Linked DNA regions of Schizosaccharomyces pombe. Changing the gene in region 4 together with the main gene of any one other region gives a genetic interaction. Each region holds a gene or a part of one and is shown on either strand. Other genes may lie near its edges. The genes, in order: ral2, pob1, ste4 and ras1.

Region 1 (5,899 bases), on a different chromosome or scaffold from region 4:
TTTTCGGCATTTTGAAACAAAGTAAAGTATTAGTTGCTATCTTTCTATATTAGAAATCTAAAACGTTGGAGCATTTATAGCTACTTACGCTACCCGAAGTTCCACTTTTGTGACAATTTTATTTAAGTAGTTTATGAGATTAAATATCATATAGATTTCATAGACATTAAAACTATTGAACGATATGAATAACCATGTATACATTAAACAGCTGGAACGTATTTTCTAAAACGTTTACGAACTCATATTATTCTGCCTTAAGTAAAATATGAGGTATTGCATACCACGAACACACATATGAATTGTAATTTATTCCTATTGTAACAAGTTTTAGGATAAAGAAAAAGCTCAACTTCTTTTCCGTTAGATATTAAACGATTACATATATATTTTGAGGTGTTGTTATTCGAGTTTTAACGCTCGAATACTCATTAAGTGTTGAAATTGTGAATAGATTAGCAAGCTTAAAAAAAAATGGAAGACATATCTACCGAAAAAACAGTGGAATCTTTGGAAGCAATCCGACATAGAATAGCACAAATTGTTCAATCGTTAACTCATTTTCTTGCAATTCTTCATCAAAGCGAATCTCTTTCACCATGGTATGTGCACAAATGAATGTTCTTAATTTTATTTTTTGAGGATAAAAGTGATAGCTCCATTATTCTAAGTTAAAGATATACGAAGAAAACGGATCTGTAATCATTTGTATTTCAACCCTACTAATATTTATACACAGGCCTACGATACATAAAAACTTCAACATTTTGCTGTCTCAAATTCATTCTTTAAGTAATAATTTAGCAGCTCATTCTCACACTCTTCAAACAACTAGCATATACCCGTCTCTTGAATTCCCAGTTAAAGAACAAGAGCCATTATTGACCACCCTACTCCGAACAAAAGCTCTCCCTGAAGTAGAAGAATGGGAGGCAAATACCCTTCAAGAATATGAAGCATCTATATCATCACAACCTAAAAAGAAAGAGGCTAACGACGCCTATCAAAAGGACCAATTATGGGACCAAGCAAGAATCATATTTATGGAAGAACGAGAAAATTATAGCTGGTTTGATTTTGTAACCCGAAGGCAGGAATCAGAAGGAGAGTTTGTGAGCCAGCGACAACTAGAGATTGATAGAGCTACGGAGGAACAAAATGCAAATCAAATGTTAACAGACATACTATCATTCATGAAATCAGGTAAACGTTAAGGTTAATCATCTAAGTTTGGAAGTGGAGAAGTGGGTGAGATTGCAGTGCCTCCTTGTTCAATTCGAGCAATACGACGTAAAGCGCGTAATTGCAAACCTTTTGCACCCGTCAAAGCGGCAGTCTCATAAATTAATTTAACGTTATTTCGATTAAGCACACCGTGGAGGAGATGCACAATATAGGCAAAAAAGGTTTCCAAGCCCTCAAAACCTTTACAAAGGATCAGGAGATTACATAGATTTTTGGCAGTACAATAAGATCCGTTTAATGTCCCACAATATATGTAATGCAAAAAAGCGGAACACGTTTCAAATGAATAAGGCATATACAACGCCCTGCTTCCTGTGCTATGAATAGAACTGAATGGCAGGTCTGTTAACTGAGGACCCAGTTGAGAAACCTCAGCTTGAAAAGCTTCCTGATTTTTTTCAACTGCTCGATCCATAATTTTTTGAAATGCAGGCCATCTCTTGTAAAGCATTCTCGATAAACAAGGGATGTGCATGCGCTCGATTGTCAAAATTTCCATATCACTTATACCGTTCAACAGTAGTTTACCCAACTGTTCAGATCGCTCCGTAACTCTCCCCATTTGCGGCTTTCTGTATACACCATATCCTTCTAACTCAATAAAAACTATGTGATCGTAATTTGATTGTCGCAAATTATAATCTTGGGTAAGTTTCCTAGTTTTGTTTCCAAAAACCACAAACCTATTCGTACAATCTAAGACTAGACATTTGAACCACGATCCATGGTTTAAAACACCCAGCATATCGAGTTGCAACCAAAGCTCCTTGTCAAGAGAATAGACCCAAAGCACGAATGCCTGTCTGGAGCTCGTAAGGTAGATTCCAGATAATATTAAGTTGTCTCCAAGTATGTTAACAGCAGGAAACCTTAGTCCCGGCGGCATTGCTGAACTTAAGAATTTTTCAGTAACATCAAGCTCTAGGAAACGGAAAGATTGGTTATTATCTTTTGCCAAAGCGGCTGATTTTTTTTCACTTTCGGCAGTATCTAATTCAAATAATTCCAAGTATATTACTTGCCTCTTAACATTGACAAAATTGTAATTTAAATAAAAAAACAAAGAACCGATAGAGTGCTCATTAGAATCCTGAGTTGTATTAATTGGTCGACACATCTGTAAAAATTCACTATCTTTGTTTATTACCACACAATTCGATCTGTATATACCACAGTGATGATTGAACAGGGATTTAAAAACCCATTTTCCCGAATCCAGGTCAAAAATATTTATCTCTTCAATATAGCTGTTTGATAAATCTTGCCCACAAAATATAATAAGATAATGATCTAACACGCAATGCAAATGTCCGTAACGTGCTGATGGATATAAGTGTTTGCTTTTTTCATCAACATCAGATCCATTGACTTCTTTAGCATCGTCATTTGTCTGATTCTCTGTTATCATGCCAGGTATATGAGACCATTGCTTAGTCTCAATATCATATATGTCGATGTCGTTAAGAACATAAAGACATTTTGTATCATCATTAAATCCCATACCACCAAAGAATATTAATTTGTTATTCCATAAATCCCCTGAATGGAAATACCGTGGTATCGGCTTTTGATTTCCTTGATATTCAACTTGCTTCCAGGAACAAGTGTTAAGATCAACTACATACATATCATTAACAAGCTGCGCATTTAATGCATCGCGTCCTCCATATACAAAAGCCTCGTCTCCATATTTTATAACTGACTCCCCAATCAGCGGTTTTGGGACATTATTTGAAGATAAACTAAATGTAGAAGTAAAAATGTTTGTTGAATTTCTCAAAGATATATTCCTTTTTACTTCTGACATAGATATAAACTGTTTAGCAACTCGACGTTAATAAGAAATATCAAAAAAGTGATTTTTCCTTCCACATAAAAATTAATAATTACTGAAATGCAAACAGTCAAAAAAGATTTATGCAATAAACAAAGCAGCAAATTAATAGCCAAAAATGAGAAGCATAAAAATCATTGTTGTCCTTTTGTTTTAGTGCATATTTCTTCCTGTATTGCACTATCGTAGCGTTAACTGATATAGTGAAGTTAACTTTTATGCACACCTAGATTTTAAAATTCGAAGCACTTGAATGAATAAATATAAATATACACTGTGATAAGCATATTATAAACCTTTCTCTTAACGTTTCTAAGATTCATCAATATAGATTCGGTAAATAAATAGTCTTCATTGCGGTACTCAATTAGATTGTATTTCAGGTATAAACACAACTGGTAACGTACTTACACATGGAATGATAATATATTAATATTAAAATTAGCAAAACTTTCGTTTAAAAAATATTGATTCCATAATCCCAACCTTATTTATTAATCATTAAGCCATAAATACAGAAATATCATAAACAAGTAATATAGTCGTGCACTGGGAAATGCGTTTAATAGTGTTCACTGCGTTAATGGCTGCTTTGGTTGCCATCTAGGTGGAGGCATATGCGGTTTCGAAATGGGGGATTTGTGCTCATTGATGGGACCCTGTGGTACCTTCAGGTATTTCAGCAGGTCTTTTGCTAGTTCTTTAACAAGCACAGAATCACTTGTTTGGTTCAAATTTGCAACCACATCTGGTAAACCACAATGCGCAATATAAGCAACACTTTGGCTACTAGCTTCACACATTGATTTCATAATTTGAAATATGTTTAGGACCACAATCGGCTTGGTCCCCTTATGAGTTAACTTTTCTTTAAATTTCTGGAATATTATAGGCTGGCCATAAGAGGCTGCCAATCTTGGGGAAATTTGACAAACCCTGCCCAAAGTATCTAGCATTCTGTTTGAGGAAGCTGATTGAGAAATACAGAACACCTTTAACACTAATTGTACGTTTCTCTTCTCTGCCAAAACACGTTGTACTTCACGGAGTTCAAACTGCAACCAAGATGCGATCGTATCAAATACCGCAGATTGCCAATTAAGATCTGATAATAACGAGAGAAAAAAATCTAAGCATTTATTTTGCCAAAGATAAATTCTCGACACTGGACCAGCCTGTGGCAAAGCTAATAATATCGGCAGCGCAAACTCCTTAAACAGTCTGTCTTTAATAATCACCTCTTGCAATAATGGAATAGCACCAGAAATAACAGCCTCTTCTTGCGATTTCTTATCTAGCTTACACACATTGAATAAAGCGGCCAAAGCTTCGCTTCTAATTTCTTTTCGTCCTTTCTCAATTTTGCTGTCACCGAGAATATGTGTCAAAAGAGGTATTATATGAACTTTCCTAAGAAGCGACAAAGATGAAGGAACCATTGAAAGTTGCTTGAAAAACTGTAAGGTAATCGCCATATCAGAATGCGGCAGATAAAGCAGAATACGCAATATCCTTCGAAGAGCACTTTCGCAAAGAAGTGATTCCTTAACATAATTATCAGCCTGAGATAAAGCCAATAAAATTTCACATATACGTGTTAATGACATTCTTGAAGAATCATCGTCAGTAGCCAAAGCTTTCAGCATGGCTTTGGTCAAGGGCTCTAGTGAATCATTTACAACCATCGTACAGATATCATTTTTTGGAATGTAATCCTGTTGTCTCAGTAATTTCCATATTCCTTCTACGCCAACAAAAACAAAGTCACGGTTCGTTCCATAGTCCTCTTTAATAAATAATAAAAGCGAATTCAGACCATTTGAGCTCAAAAACATTTGTAATGTCAAAGCAGAAGTTCTATACATCTGTTGAATAAAGATAGCACTTTCATATCTAAACTCAAAAGAGTGTTCACGATTAGAGAATGACAACATAAGCGGTAAACCTCCAGCAAAGCAAACTTTTTGTAAAGTTGTGTGATCATCGAATGCAACCTAACGTTAGTAAAATCACGCATTAAATATCCTTACAGTGTTAATGAGCTTTAATAACAGCAATTGAACATCAGGCGTTTTTATTTCGCGCAATGTCTCTAAAAGTGGAAGGATACCATGCGCTTGTATTATCTCTCGTTTTAGAGAAAGATCTTCACTAAGTATAGAAGCCTATTGTCAGTTAAATTATCAATATAAAAATATGCACTTACTATTTGCGAAACAGTTGTATCCTTCGATCCGATATTCTTGTCACGTAGTGAGCCTAACAGACTGGAAAGTAAGGAAGCTAGATGCGTTCTCTTATCTAAAGCAATGTTGTTTTCAATATCCAAGTTTTCTAAGTTTGTTTCAATAGAGTCAAAGATATCCGATTCTTCCCCATCCTCATTTTCTTCATTATTCCACGAGCCATAACATTTGTTTAAAACCAAAGTCCCCAGTCCAGTCTCCTTTCTCAATCCTTGAACTTTGATTGAGGATGTAGGGAAAATATCAGTAAATTCACTATCTCTGGGTGTCTCGACAAATTTTTCAATTCCGTCTGGTATATTCTCTTTAAACTCTAGATAATTAGTTATATGTTAGTATCAGATACTTACCAGTTGACAAGTATCTTTTATGTTGCGGAGTTTTTTGATGATCTATTGACCGGTTGAGAGCGGGCTAAAAAAAAGGTTAATTATTTATTTAAAATCATTAAAAGCTCTAGAAAATCGAGCTGCATTATTTACCTTAGAGGGATCAAATTGGGCTTTGAGAGGAGTACTCAACGGTGATGCATTAAAGTTGTTTGATTCAGAGATTTGATCTGAATTAAAAGCAT
Region 2 (6,538 bases), on a different chromosome or scaffold from region 4:
TTAATGCTTTATATGCACTCAAACAGCTGGGGTCGGTGTATGTCATTGTATTAATGTGAGACCAAAGTGCTTTATTGTACTCTATGAATCACAAATTTTGCTTTACATTAAAGTATTAGTTTAAATTTTAACTGCTTATCTCGCAAAAAATACGCTGCCTAGAAAATATACTAAGTTTAAAATAGTAATTCATTTAGGTATGGTGGTTGTTAAAAAGAGCATATAAATAGAAAAATTTGATGTTTTGAAAGTAATGTCTATAAAACATAAATGAGTTATGTTTAGCAATGCTTATATTTGCAAGGATGCTGTATACGCCGTAACAGCATTATTAGATGCACTTGTTAAATTCAGTGCTGCTCGAACGTACTATCATGTAATATTGTAAGATTCAAATGGTTTCTGCTATCTGTTTACTTACAGTTCTTGATCATATGCCTAAAAATGTAAAACAATACCGAATTTACTTATTAAGTTCCAGTTCACCTGAGCAAACAACGGCGCGTTGCCCAACAATTATAACCGAGGATAGTAAGAATCTGATTTTATTATATAGTATCCAAATTTAGGAGCAAACATTATTTCAATCAAAACATCGCATCTTACCATATCGTTAGCGAGTTTAAGAAGATACGGAATTAGTGGATAGCAGAGTAGATAGAGTACGTTACGGAGATCGAGTAGTTTATCAAACCAGTATTACTTCTTCGACCATAGACCCTTCCTCAAGTACGATTAAATTTACAGACATAATGGTAATTTGTATTTTTATTATAAGGAGCAATTTCTGACTTCTTTTTAGAGTGCTCAAACGAATTCTGGTATCCAACAACTTTTAGAGGTAAGTTCAGGTAATTCCAAGATCGTTATTTCTAATGAGATATGTAGGCTGAAAAAGTTGCTAGAAATATAGTCGAAAAGGCTCGCCAACGTAAGTTTAATCAATCGGAGCAACGTTTCTAAAAGATAAAAAGATCGCACTCAAAGATTGAAGGATGCACGTCTTGAGGCTAAACGCGAAATTGATGAATACGCTTCCAAGAAGGAAGAGGAATTCAAAAAGTCAGAAAGTCAGGTAAAGTTATTCAATACAGTTTTTAAGAGTTTGGACAATCAATTTTAACATATCAGGCTTCTGGTATATATAGTCAGGCTGAAGCGGAGAGCAAAAAGCAAGTCCAGGACACATTTGCAAGTATCGAGACAAGCTCCCAGAAGAACTCTGATAAAGTGGTTGATGCTATTTTATCTATAACTTGCAATGTTAAGTAAACTTACTGTTTATTACTAAATTTTTATATACACATTCTTACTATCCTCTGAAGGGAAAACTGTATTTGCAATTTTTAGCAATAAATCACTTTAACGGTAATCATCTAATATTCCCATACATGTATGAAATATTTGCAATTATTAGATCGTAAAGGGTATAGAATTCTGTCTGCGAGGGATGCTGTTAAATAATCATGCATTCAGATAGCTAATGATTCTTATTAAGCAAAATCATATAGTGGACTGTTGATATCCCAGGAATATGGTCAAATACGAGTTTAGCTCATTTTTTATTTTAGTATTGTGAAATATTAGCGAAGTTATCCAATAATTACCTTCAACCGTAGACGGACCTTGTATAAATAATAAGTTACCTGGTTAATACTCGATCGCATTTCCATAATACCTTTGTGGTAGATCAAGTCAATCGACCTCATTACACACGTGAATAAATAAATTAGATACATGTATTATAGTAACTATGCAATTGTCACCCTCATCGTTATACTAAGCGTATTTCAATGGAAACGTAAGCATAATCACAATTCTTAGTTCTTTGGTCCTTCATTTATTCGTTAATATACGAAGATGAGACATTCTATCCTTTGCCTTCAAACGTACCGACATGTATATTAGAAGAAATAAATAAAACACCTATTCAACACCTAATACTACTATTACCCCCACGTAAGTACTGGTTAAACCATGACTAGGTCAAAACACATTCTGCAACACTCTCCTAATGTAATATAACAGACTTGCAGATTTCAAAAAGCAAAGCCCCCACGAAGGTCGTCTTTCCCCACATAGATTATTATCGTTAAAGTGGGCTAAGCCAAACACGGTAAACACTGTTTTGCCAGCCATCAAGATTTAAGCCTTCGATTACAACACCGCATAACCACATAGCTGTGTTTTTTCTGCTTTTACCACAACTATGGCAAGTCAGCGGTTCGTGATTGCTTTGCATTCCTTTCCGGGGAAGAGTAGTGATGAACTTCCGTTGGTTGAAGGTCGGAAGTATCTGTTGATAAAGATGGATGAAGAATTTGGTGATGGTTGGTGGGAAGTAAGTATATAACTTCGAAGTCAAAATCCTATTATTTTTATTCCTGGTATATTTTATAATTTGAAGGATTCTTGATGCCTGCTTTGTACAGTTTTCCAATCCACATAAAGATGCAAACACTATATGTCAAAGTTGCATGCCCTTAGGATTGTGAAACCTTGATATATTTTTATCATACTAACTAAGTTTTAATAGGGAGAAGATGAACAGGGAAATAGGGGTATTTTTCCTGCTTCGCACGTAGAATTGATATCTGATGAGAGGTCTGACTCAAGTGATTCAAGAAGAGGCAAAGAAGATTTCTCCATTTCTACCGCGGAAGTCACAAGATCCTCTTTATCAAGCAGCCGGTCAACTTCTTCACGATCGGACAAGGACAGTGAAAAGTTGTATTCGAATAATTCCTTGTCTTCAAGTCACTCATCAATCTTAAACGGCCCCCTTGATAGTCTTTCGAAACCTTCGGTCCCTAGTAATTTTAACTCAATGTTTCCATCTTCTAAACAAGAAGGCCCTTCCCCTTTGTTGGATAACCAACCTTCCTCAGATCTATCAAACTTCAACACTATTGATGCCGATTATAATAATGCTTCTGCTTCTACTTCTGCTCCTGCTACTTCAGCAAGCTTGAAAAAGGTTTTGTCAGCTGAGGATTCCGTTAGAGAAACTATTACAGATATTGAAACAGCTTTACAGAATATGTCAACTTCAGCATCTCGTACTCCAAATGACAGTTCACCTTTGCCCTATATTGAAAATCGACCTGCATCCTCTCTTGCTGTTTCCGAAAAAATTCAAAATGTTCCTAACTGGTCTACGGAAGAGGTAGTTGAATGGCTTATGAATGCCGGCCTTGGATCAGTAGCTCCTAATTTTGCGGAGAATGAAATAACCGGTGAAATTTTATTAGGCTTAGATTCCAATGTTTTGAAAGAACTTAACATTACTTCTTTTGGAAAACGTTTTGAAGTTTTACGAAAGATCCAACAATTAAAAGATTCATACGAACAATCTTTATATGAAGAATATCCGCAGTTTGCTGAGCCTATTTCTGTTAGCCAAAGTTCTGATTCCTCCTCTTCTATTCCAAAAAAATCTAATGATGAAGCCGGCGGTTCACCATCAAAATCCAGTCCAACTCGTCCGGGATTTAACGATTATGTTAATCGTCCGACTAGTGTGATGCCTTCTTTGTCAAATATGATTGTTTCACCTGATTTGGACTCATCTCCATCTACCGATTGGAACCAATACGTGATTCCTCCTTTAGCCACACCAAGTTCGCGCAATTCTAAGTCTACGCAATCTGCGGTCCCTGAAAATGTATCTCGTTTTGATTCTAACGAACCTTCGGCCACATCACCGATATTAAAACGTTCATCCCCTACGGACTCAATTTCTCAAAATAGCGGTTTACCTTCTCGTCTTACTGAGCCCATCTCTTCTCCTTCTACCAGTAGCATTGATGTTGATAAGGAAGGAACTTCATTTCCTGGTTTACCTTATCATTCATCTAAGGGCAACTTGTATGCTCCTCAACCATCTTCTAACGTTCCTACTAAATTTACGGGCGGTGCATCGGAATCTTCTTCCGTACCTCCTAGACCTATTCCAAGTGCTATGAAAGGAAAAGCACCAGCTTCAGCTATATCTATCGAAGCTTTGGAAGAATTGGATCCTCCAAAGATTACTACTATTGATGGTGAAAGTCCTTCATCGATAAGTTCTCGACTCCCTAGTAGCAATCTCGAACAAGGGAGTTCAAGTTCTGTTACTAAGTCACCTGAATCAATGCCAGACCCATCAGCAAAAGCATCATCGCCTGTCACAAGCAAAGGGGTGTCCATAAACGAAAAATCCGCTGTTAATAATTATGCCACTCCTCTTTCAAAACCTCAACCCAAAGATACGAAGGGCTCAAAATTAGGAAATACTTTTGTTGCTCCATCTCCGGCTGCTTCCTTACCCGCTTCACCTCCAGTCGGCACTGAGTTAAAGACTCGTCCAACCCTTCGTTCTGTTGCTTCATCACCATTAAATAAAGAGCCAATAGGTAAACGAAAGTCGAAACGTGATATTTTTGGGAGACAAAAGGTTTTACCTACTGGAATTAGTGAAGGATTAAGTAATATACCTGCCAAAGAAGCAATTAAAACGGCGGACTGTCATGGTTGGATGCGGAAACGTAGTGATCGTTACGGTGTTTGGAAGTCTAGATACTTTGTATTAAAAGGAACAAGGCTTTCTTATTACCATTCATTAAATGATGCTTCAGAAAAAGGCCTAATTGATATGACTTCTCATCGTGTTACGAAAACCGATGACATTGTTCTAAGTGGAGGCAAAACTGCTATCAAGTTAATTCCACCTGCTCCAGGTGCCGCTAAAGCAGCAGTTATGTTCACTCCACCAAAGGTTCATTATTTTACTTGTGAAAATAATGAAGAATTACATCGTTGGTCTTCGGCTTTTCTCAAGGCTACTGTGGAACGCGATATGTCGGTACCTGTTTTGACAACGTCGAGAATGCCTACCATTTCACTTAGCAAAGCTAAAGAACTTCGTACTAGGCCTCCTTCTCTATTAATTGATGATGAAAATGAAGCAAATCTCACTTCTTCGATTGGATTAAAGAAGAATGCAAAACAAAAGAATAAGAAATCAAGCAAGCAAAAATAAATACCGACACTCCTCAAAATCCACAAAAGCAAAGTGCAACACATTCCAATTCTAAAACCTGCGCAACAGACCCTGTTCTTAGTATCTGGTTTTCCTTAATCTATTTTCAAACTAAATATCCCTTCAAAATTGAAAACATAGCTAATATGTTTGAATTTTAAATTCGTTGATGCTTTTACTGCGGACATATTTGACACCAATTTAAGAATTAACCGGGCATATTTGATACGCTCATTTCGATTCTGGTTTACCGACATTTACTAGCGGAAGCTATAGTATCTTCATCATGCACATATGGCTTATTTAACGTTGAATTATTTGCTTTTATCTTTTATTGCATAAATTTTTAAAAGCAAATGCATCATTCTATTAATTCAGCATTTTTTTACTGATAATTTTCATTTGTTTGTCGACTTCCTACCACTTTCGTTTGTTTTATTTTTAATCTTTATTTCGATCATTTCGATCCAGCTGAGTCCACGCTGGTAGCGGACCTGGATCATTGCAGAATTCGTAGGCCTTTTACTAGTGATACTAATATAGCTAATGAAAATTTAGAATGTTTGTTTTCTATGTATGGGCATTCCTGGCATTCCTTGGATTAGCAAATACGTTTTCTTGGCTGCGGTTTTTTATCTTTACATGCAATCAAAACCGTGTAGTGACGTCCAAAAAGTAAGCATTGGCTGCTTGTAAGTTGTGTATAAACCCAGAATGTATAAGCAAGTACGCACAAATGTAGCTTTTCGTAGAAGCAATTCTTTTTTGAAATTTCAAAAACGACACTATATCCATTTTTTGGCGATCAACTTCAATAAGAGCAATAGTCAAACTCGTTAAACAATTCGTTAAATCGGCATTAAAAAACTATACCATACACTCCCTTTTCTGTTAAATTCCAATCGACTATCAGGGTTAGGGTTTTGTTATACCCAGGTCTTTTATTCATATAAAAATTACGCACCACTAAAATTTTCCTTTAACCAAACTCTCAGTTAGTTTAGGTGCAACAGAGAAAAGTTTAGTATGGCTCAACCACAAAACGTTCCTACCTTTAAGCTTGTACTTGTCGGCGATGGTGGTACCGGTAAGACCACGTTCGTCAAGCGTCATTTGACTGGTGAATTTGAAAAGAAGTATATTGCAACTTTGGTACGTTTTATGATTTTACTTTATTAGAACAGTTTTTGTATACCGGAAACGATGCCTAGTATCGTAAATAAATGCCATCTTTTTATGAGACATACAGTTATCTGTACTCGTGCATCATCGGTTTTCAGTTACTCTTTTTATGCTTAGATCTTTCGTTTAGAAACAACAGTCTAACATATTTTTAGGGTGTTGAGGTCCATCCTTTGCATTTTCATACTAATTTTGGTGAAATTTGCTTTAATGTTTGGGATACCGCTGGTCAAGAAAAGTTAGGTGGCCTTCGTGATGGTTACTATATTCAAGGTCAATGTGGTATTATCATGTTTGATGTTACTTCCCGTATTACCTATAAGAATGTTCCCCATT
Region 3 (4,570 bases), 720 kb from region 4:
TTGCAATTGTTGGCATACTGATTCTGGTATCGTTCGACAACACCTAGGAACTTAGCATCAAACTCTATGGTATTTTTTTGTTCAGCTAAGGAACGCAAGGAAATTAATTCATCACGAAGTGAATGATCTTGCAACTGTATATTTTTCAATAGTTGGTCACGCATCGAAGGACCATTTTTAGATTTTGTTAAAACTCCTTCGCCGATGAGTTCATTGGTTCCGCGTAGCTTTCCGATTTTTGAAGTACGTTTACCAACTGCATCGGCAAGAAGCATTTTTATCGGCAATGTATATGGTACAATGGCCAGTCCCTTCTTTAATAATACAGCAATGTATCCAGTTAATTGGGAGTTTTGATTCATTTTTTTTAAAGACGACTTATAACAGGTAAAAGTGAGAATCGTGGGTTTCTGTTTCAAATCGTAAACATCTTGAATAGTTCCGAATGTTATGTCCCATAAAGATAGTTGACTATCATGTTGAATTAACAAAAAATTATCCGAAATAAGCTCTATGTGTTCAATTTTCGATATGCTTTGGAAATGAAGAATTTTAATAAGCATATAAGATTTGGACTCATCATGAAGTGAGTATATGGATAGCCCTTCGAGGGAAATCGTATATATACTTGTAGAGTCTTTAGACATCAGAATGTGCGAAGGAGCCTGAACTTCCTTTAGAACCACAGCTCTCGTATTCACGAGACGTCTTTCAGAAACTGAAAAAGAATCTACATAATATTGTATAATTTTGTCGACATGTACACTATACAATAAATATACCATGGATGTGGATGAGGTGACATTAGCGCTAAAACTGGTAGACCCTGACTTTGGTACTGAAGAAGTTGTGTCGCTGTTCATCTCGATTTCCTTTGGATTATTATTAGTGCCACTTGCTTCGTTAGATGCTAATCGTACAGCATCAATAGGATTTGCTTGTGAAGGAACATACATTGATTGAAGCAATGTGGCTGATTCGTTAACGGAGGCACTCATGTGAACTTTGTCATCTTCGGGATCGAGAAACGCAATTTTTCCGTTTCGAAATACAATCACTAGTTGACCAGTTGACGAGATGAAATGAAGAGCAAATATTTGTTGGTTGGAAATATCACGATATACAACTTCGCTTTCCTCCTCGAGGTCGTTGAACTTCCAAAGAAGTATTTTCCATTCCCCATTACTTTTAAGAGAGGTGCAGGTCCAAATATAATGCCAATTTCCTTCTTTAATGTAGATGGGTGAGCAGGAAAACCGTGTCTTCTCAGGTAGAGGACATGAAGCGAATAAGCGTTCATCCTTCATATGATAAACTTCAATTCCCTGATTTTCCACTTGAACACATATATAATAAGGAGATTCAACTCCGTTATCCAAAGCAACCGTGCCAGCACTCTGAATTTCATGCTTTTTATTCGATTTATGAATATTCGAAATTTCGCTGAGAAACGATAGTTCACCAAAAGAAGCCATTTTTACTTTAAGTTTAAACACAATTTTCTGAAACTGTGAAAATTGGCAAAATAAGCGTTTCTGAGGTTCAAAAGTTTCACACAGCACTCGGTGGAGATGAAGAGAAGAAGTTACAAAAAAAAATAATTCCTACACAGCTTTGACCTCCACAAATACTAACGAAAATAGGAATTATTGATCAGTAAAATTAAATTAAAGTATTAGAAGCAATGGTTGTTCGACGCTTGTTTTCCACTGGAAAATTTGCGTTCTTACATTCGAGTGCGGTATATCTCGTTATGATACATAAAAACTTTTTGCTCTCAAGTGCTATAACAAAACAACTTTTATTATTTAGTTTTGTCAAATAAGAAAAACAGAATTTTTTTTGTAAACTACTCTTTGTACAACAATGCTACAAAAAATTCTCTTCTCGATTGGGTTTTTTTGCTTTGAGCTTTATTCATACTTGGACAACGTACCGATGTTTGATATCAATTGTGCCTTTATTCTGTGAACTTGAAACTCTAAATTTATTGTTTACCAATTTTTCTAATATAATAGGGATAATAAAACTTTTCTTTAATAAGTGAAAAAAACTGGGCAAGTCAAATTAGCATCGGCATACATGCTCTTGTTTACGTCCCATAATTTACAGATTTTATAGCTAATCCAAATTCAAAGTCCCAAATCACATCCAAAATCACTTTTCCAATAAGATTTAAGGGTCTTATTTTTTATCATTTTTTATGCTGATTTTTGATATTGTATTTAAATTTGCATATCCACTAACTTTTGGTAAATGAGTATGCTTTCTTTGTTATAAAAGTAGTGGGCAGGTCAGCATCAGAAGCATATATATTAACTACGCCCTTTACATTGCTATCCTAAGCAAAATTAATGGGAGATTCTGACGATTTTTATTGGAATTGGAACAATGAAGCAGTTTGCAATTGGATAGAACAGCTTGGTTTTCCCCATAAAGAAGCGTTTGAAGGTATGTATGCATAACAGAAGTTTAATTCAAAGAATTATTTGCTCGCCTCTCATTAATCCTTATTGAATGCTCTTTCTTTTATAGTCAATGGGGGATTGGGAACAATGAGTTTCTCCAAAGTTGGTTCAATTTCATGGCAATTTACTAAGAATTTCTAGACTACCATATTCTTGGAAAAGACATAGACCTGTTAAGTTCAAATGATCTTCGAGACATGGGAATTGAGAGTGTGGGCCATCGTATTGACATTTTATCAGCAATACAGTCAATGAAAAAGCAGCAGAAGGATAAACTGCAGCAAGAAAATAAGGATCAAGAACTGAAAAATATAGAAGAGTCTTACAAGAAGCTAGAGGAAAAAACCGAACATTTATCAGATGACAATGTCTCTTTAGAAAAACGTGTGGAATACTTGGAAACGGAAAACACTAAATTGGTAAAAACACTAAACTCTTTGAACTCGGAATTTCTTCAGTTACTAAGAAAAATTGCCATAAATGTTAAGGAAGGAAGACAGCTTACTACCGAAAATTCATCTGACACTAGTTCGATGACTCACCCTGTTCAGCCTTCACCATCTGTTCTTGGAAGTTTTGATTTAGAGGTTAATGATTCTTTGACAAACGCGGAGAAAAACAGAAAATTAAATGTGAACTTAACCTACAATGAAGTGTTATGCTCCATGTTGCAACGATACCGAATCGATCCAAACACTTGGATGAGCTATGATTTGCTTATAAACTACGATGATAAGGAGCATGCCATACCTATGGATGTAAAGCCACTTCAACTATTTCGAAACCTACAAAAGAGGGGAAAGTCGCCTTCTTTTGTTTTATCTCGACGCTCTTGTTAACTAAGCTTTTTAAAAGCCATCTATTTATGAATTGAATTTAATGAATAGTTTTCAATTTTTTTAATGACTCATTTGCAGATATTTAAGTTATTTTACTTACGCCTTGGTATGTTTATCAGTATTTAAAGATGGATTGATTTTTTTAGCCGTACCTCCTAATATTCTATCTAATATTCTATCTAATATGCTTAAAATATATATTTTTTTTTTTATTCATGGGGTATGCCCTAAGGTTTATTAATATGATATAAATGAATCTATGGAATGTATTAAGACAATGAAAATGAACCATGTAATATAATAACAGAAAAAATTAAACATTAAATTTTAACATGCTTCAACAGGAAATGAAATGACAAAGAAGGTTAACAGCCTAAAAAAAAAATTGAAGCGTGATTAGAAATTTTTAGAAAAAAATTGTGGTTTTTTAATGAATTTGAAACCAATGATATATGCAATATGTGAAGTTCGTAAATAAGGCGCAAAATTATGCCCCGAAACGTAGTTTACTCCGTCAATAAAATATTCATCATGTTGTACTACGCTTATTTTTGTAAGCTATGTATTAACAATTTCAGACAATGCAACATGCGTTGGGTTGCTTGGAGTACACGGTGGTATACCGAAATTTGGAAGGAGACAAGTAACTCATGTTAGACAAGCTTTGTAGAAAAACACGCATTTTTGGCTGAAACCAAATTAGTTCCTTTTCGCTTGATTCGGAAGATGAATAAAAATTTGGCTGGGGTTTTGATCCCGTATGCCTATTAACAAATTTAATTTCATCATTTGTTGGTGGAGTCAGTACTTTTGATAATTTTCTACGCTTAGAGAAATGTTCATTTTTTTTTTTCTTTGAGAAAAAACGAAAATCAATTTCAAGGATTTCATCTGACTGATTTAATTCATGGACATTAAAACTGAAACAGTCGGAATCCCGTATAGAGCCGGTAGATAAATCAGAAAGTCTAGATTCCGATGCCAAAGTAGAAGCGAAAAGAATTGAACTTGAAGAGGACGATTCACTAGAAAATGTAAATCTGCTAGGTAGGTCGGAAAGTGATAAGACGGACATTGAATATAAATAAAAAAGTGTGAAGCCAGAAGGCTACGTATATATACCCATTATTGTATTCACAAATTTGGAGGTTGAATTTGGATATCTATGCTTTGGTCCATGAAAATTTGGGACTCTATGCTTTCAAACGTCAAAATTTCCACCCAGCCATCATCCTTAAGTTTACGATCGAAGTAGCTTAAATT
Region 4 (4,675 bases):
AAAAATCGGCAACTCAACAATTATTTGAGCATTAGGAGTGCCTTTCTTTATTTATTATTGGGATACTCAGGGGCTTAATTTTTTATTTTTTAGCAACGGATTGGTTTTCTTTTGATCCTTTATTATTAGCCTACAAATATATTTGTTAAATTACAGCCTTTTTTTTACCTTACCTATGGGCTTACTGGAATTCTAACAGAAGCTAAAAGATACTTTCATTTTCTTTCAAAAGCATAATTGATTGCTTTATAGGTAATCTTGTTGGACAATCTGAAGTGTTTTCTATTCAGATTACTGTTTGCTACTACTATAAGTGTTCTCGTGTTCCTTCAATCACTGTTATTGATCCAAGATATTTGGACATTTGATGCTAAATCTTATTTACATGTAATTTTGTTTGTAGTAAGAAGTTGAAAACGTTCAGTTTTAACAATTTTTTTATGTTTAGGCATTTGGTACGAAAAGTTTTGTCCTTCCATTTATCTTTTTAATCCCCTCTTTATTTAACTTAAACACTTTCAGGGATTCTACATGCCTAACTCAACTGCCCAATATCCGGAAAAGGATTCATGGGAATTCTTAGTCAAATCTGGAATTGCTGGTGGTACAGCTGGATGCGTTGCAAAATCAGTAGTTGCCCCATTAGATAGAGTGAAAATCCTTTACCAAACCAATCACGCTTCTTATCGAGGGTATGCTTATTCACGGCATGGGCTTTATAAGGCTATCAAACACATTTACCACGTCTATGGCTTACACGGTCTTTATCAAGGCCACACTGCTACTTTATACAGAGTCTTCCCTTATGCGGGCATTAAATTTGTTGCATACGAACAAGTACGGCGTGTTTTAATTCGTGACCCTGAACATGAAACACATGCTCGGCGATTTTTATCAGGATCACTTGCCGGAACTTGCTCTGTTTTTTTTACATACCCGTTAGAGCTGATTCGTGTTCGTTTAGCCTACATAACCAATACAGGGAAGAATCCTACCCTAACTCAAGTTACAAAAGATATATTTCACGAACGTGATTTTTTGTGCAATAAGAAGTATCCTGGGTTATCCCGTTTGTCAAAAATCTGTAATTTTTATCGTGGATTTTCTGTTACGTTAACTGGAATCTTTCCATATGCTGGTATGTCGTTTCTTGCCTACGATCTTGCAACTGATTTTTTTCATAAACAAAAAATTGACGAATGGGTTTCTACAAAAAAGTCAGATAAAAAACTTAAAACTTGGCCCGAACTACTTTGTGGAGCATTTGCAGGAGTTTGTGGTCAAACGGTTTCTTACCCATTCGAAGTTTGTCGACGAAAAATGCAAATTGGTGGTATCAGAAAAAATAAATCATTTCTTAGACTTAAGCAGGTAGTACAAACTACTTACAAAGAAGCCGGTATGAGAGGTTTTTTCGTTGGACTTACCATAGGTTACATTAAGGTTATCCCAATGGTAAGCACTAGCTTTTTTGTTTACAATCACAGCAAAGCGCTTTTAGGGATAGATTGAGACTGCAGACATAGTTTTCTATGAAAAAAATTATCCCTTTTTTAAAAATTTATAAAAAAAGATCTACGGGATTATAGGTGTATGATATATTCATTAGTTGCAGATTGTTACATCGTGACCATGCAATGAAAGAGATGTATTTTATTAAAACGGAACAAGAAATAGCAACCCAAAGTCAAATAACACGTTTTTTCTAAGTCCACAACTCTGAATTGAATAATTTGCTATCATACTAGCAGCCAAAACTAGATGTGCAAATGGTTCAAAGGGAAAATGAAGTACTTAAAGATAGCTGCTAATAATTGTGTTAAATGAAAAAACAATTATTGAAATGAAAAGAAAGAGATGAAACAAAAGACAGGAACGGTGCATTCACCAAACAGCTCAAATATTCTGCAATAATACTTGCTAACATATAACACAACATTTAGTTGAAACCTCATCTTCGGTTTTACTGTTATTTACAGCGCTAGCTCTTTTAGCAGTTGAAGCTGGAACTTGGGCAGTCTGGACGGCCTGCTTATTCTGAAAACCTTTTTCTTCTGATTTGTTATAGCGACGGATCGTGCGAACCAAACTATAAAAAGCTTCTTCTACATTTAACCTTAGCTTCGCCGAAGTTTCAACATATAAACAATGCATGCTTTTTGCAAGTTGTTCGCCTTCAGCTCTTGAAACTACACGTTCAGCTTCAAGGTCGCATTTATTAGCCACTAAAACGACTGGAAATGTATCCTTATCCTTAACTCTAAGGATTTGTTGATAAAATGTAGAAATTTCGTCAAAAGAGGACCGAGAGGTAATATTATAAACTAATAAAAAACCCTCTCCGGTTCTCATATATTGTTCACGCATAGCGGAATATTCCTCTTGACCGGCCGTGTCCAATACATCTAAAAGCGCACCTTCACCATCAATTTCACACTTTTTCCGATATGAATCTTCGATTGTAGGATCGTATTCGTCAACAAAATGCGATTGAATTAATTGAATTGTCAAAGCACTTTTACCAACACCACCATCTCCTACAACTACCAATTTGTACTCTCTTAAGTAGGTAGACTATAAATATTATCGTTGATTAGTTTGTTGTAATCAATAAAAGATAACCCCAAGTCATTGCTTAGACTTACCCTCATATTCACTATTTTATAAAGCACACTAAGTTTAATCGTATATTTCTTTAGGTTGCTTTTAAAACAAAATACAAAAAGTGTGTAGGCTTGGTAATTAAAAAATATTGGTTGGTCTTAAGCTCGTTAAAATGTGTTTGGCAGTTTTCAAGTAATGCAGTCAACAATTACTGATGGCAAACCGACAAGCTAGTAATAAAGAAATTCAGAAGTTATAATTTTTTAAAGGTATCTGGTGCAATAAAAACGAAATATTAATGTTAACAGCTAATTATGTTAAATCCATCAATAAACATTTGATCTTCTATTAAAATACCAAAAATTCTGCCATTTGTATTTGACAGATATATTGCATTAGTGCTTTGTCTACCTTTAAAAGCATACGAAGTATTGTTTGAAGAATTCCCTATTCAGCCCAACTTAACCAAATTAGCAGCAAATTTAAGTATTGCTTTTGAACTTTCTATACTGAACATTAAATATTTCTTTATTAAAATTAAAAAGCTTCTAAAAATTTTGCTCAAGTGTTCGCAATACATGCATGAAGAGGTCGGCACCATATATTATTTTGTATATGTTAAACTCCTTTCATGCGTTTTATCGACCGTGGAAAGAGATACGATAGTGGAGATTTTCATTCAAAAACATTTTCGTTTGCTATAAATATACAATGAGACATTGATAATTGCATATAGTCTTAAAATTACATTCTAGCGGCAAAAACAGAATTGATAGAAAACGTTAAGGATGTAGTTTCTCAAGATTTTCAATAATACTTTTTAGATCTTGAACAGAAATATCAAGCTTTGTACCCTCATGACCACCATTTACAATTTCATTCAATATAGGTTCACGTAAACCAAGGATGCTCTCAATCAAAGAGCCATCAATTAAATCAGATGGACTGGTCTCATTTTCACCTCGATACTCTTTCCATTCCTTATGACTCAAGCCTCCAAACGAAGGTATAACTTTTCTAATGTTATCCTGCAGCTGTAGTAACAAAGGAGTATTAGACATTCCGGCATCACCCACAATCATGAGGCTGCCGTCAACTGTTGCGCATAACAACTGTGGTGTGACAAGGGATTTATCCTGTGGTTCTATAAATGTGCAGTGCCTAGTTTTATTTATCAATTCACCAAGATAGAACTTTTTGTACCAACGTAACTTTTTTCTATCGGACAATTGAGGAGAGACATTGTCTCTCAAAAGAATCACTGCGTTGCCATCTGCTTCAGTTACAAAGTACTTTCTTTCTGACAAAATTTCAACGGATGTTGCCCACAATGGATGATAGTCTCTGGCAACTTCTATTAGTTGATCATCAATAAATTGTAGAACGGTAATAGACTTCATTAAATCTGCTGCGATGATTTCGTCCTGATTAACGGAAATGTCGATCGTATAAGTAGGTGTCCTAATAGAATTCCTTACGTGCATAGTACCGTGTTCATATTCGAAAATACAGACACTGGCATTAATGCCGGCGACTATCAAATGTTTATACAGAACTAAAGTGTTCACAGATCCCTGGACCTTATGTTCAGCTTGCATTTCGATATTATTATCGGAAGTCATCTCAAAGACCATTAAACGGCCTGAATCTGGGGCATCTTGATCTGGAAAGTTGAAACCTGTGCCCACAACCACACGTTTATCATCATTCATTAAAATGATACTTTCAACCATTTCATATTCATTAAACTTATGATGAGCAATCTCACTTAAAGTGTTTTTTTCGTAAACTCTCAAGAAAGACAATAAACGTTGCTCCTGTGTACCAATCGACTCTTCTAGTTGCATACATAAGACAAAGTAAAACAACGAATTTGAACAAATTCTCCGCGGAAACCCTTTGACAGAAACAGTTTGAACATTTAAGCTTCGAATTTCACTCATTTTAGCAAGAGATATATAACTATTAGTGCAATAAAGCATATTTACTCCTAAGGAAGGGTTCACATAAGAAGATATATTCAACATTTCCGTACAAGAAAGTGGTGTAATTACCAATTTATCTGACTCAT

The links.
Region 1: of ras1 (region 4) and ral2, changing one suppresses a phenotype caused by changing the other (phenotypic suppression), as found in Schizosaccharomyces pombe (2 studies listed by BioGRID).
Region 2: of ras1 (region 4) and pob1, changing one suppresses a phenotype caused by changing the other (phenotypic suppression), as found in Schizosaccharomyces pombe (one study listed by BioGRID).
Region 3: of ras1 (region 4) and ste4, changing one suppresses a phenotype caused by changing the other (phenotypic suppression), as found in Schizosaccharomyces pombe (one study listed by BioGRID).

The regions. Positions count from the first base shown.
Region 1 is NC_003423.3:3,219,130-3,225,028, forward strand, and holds ral2 (Ras1-Scd pathway protein Ral2), read right to left. Parts: upstream 3,209-5,899; 5' UTR 3,053-3,208; coding exon 1,217-3,052; 3' UTR 1,215-1,216; downstream 1-1,214. Other genes in the region: mediator complex subunit Med8, read left to right, coding at 475-602, 740-1,214; serine/threonine protein kinase SIN pathway Cdc7, read right to left, coding at 3,652-5,073, 5,110-5,244, 5,286-5,638, 5,676-5,739, 5,808-5,899. UniProt on the Schizosaccharomyces pombe protein: Essential for mating and for recognition of the mating pheromone, and for the determination of cell shape. Implicated in activation of the ras1 protein.
Region 2 is NC_003423.3:4,386,825-4,393,362, reverse strand, and holds pob1 (Boi family protein), read left to right. Parts: upstream 1-2,200; 5' UTR 2,201-2,209; coding exon 2,210-2,341; intron 2,342-2,536; coding exon 2,537-5,020; 3' UTR 5,021-5,567; downstream 5,568-6,538. Other genes in the region: vma10 (V-type ATPase V1 domain subunit G), read left to right, coding at 753-755, 803-841, 889-931, 975-1,075, 1,132-1,272; Ran GTPase Spi1, read left to right, coding at 6,047-6,172, 6,358-6,538. UniProt on the Schizosaccharomyces pombe protein: Has a role in cell elongation and separation.
Region 3 is NC_003424.3:1,294,295-1,298,864, reverse strand, and holds ste4 (MAPK cascade adaptor protein Ste4), read left to right. Parts: upstream 1-2,321; 5' UTR 2,322-2,354; coding exon 2,355-2,451; intron 2,452-2,609; coding exon 2,610-3,307; 3' UTR 3,308-3,549; downstream 3,550-4,570. Other genes in the region: protein Utp8, read right to left, coding at 1-1,475; SPOM_SPAC1565.03 (uncharacterized protein), read right to left, coding at 3,882-4,382. UniProt on the Schizosaccharomyces pombe protein: Essential for mating and meiosis.
Region 4 is NC_003424.3:2,017,838-2,022,512, forward strand, and holds ras1 (GTPase Ras1), read right to left. Parts: upstream 2,795-4,675; 5' UTR 2,652-2,794; coding exon 2,646-2,651; exon of another isoform or gene 2,575-2,645; coding exon 1,921-2,574; 3' UTR 1,625-1,920; downstream 1-1,624. Other genes in the region: leu5 (coenzyme A transporter), read left to right, coding at 532-1,512; protein Ddb1, read right to left, coding at 3,387-4,675. UniProt on the Schizosaccharomyces pombe protein: Participates in the process of sexual differentiation and the determination of cell shape. Essential for mating and for recognition of the mating pheromone, but not for vegetative growth. Does not regulate the intracellular cAMP level.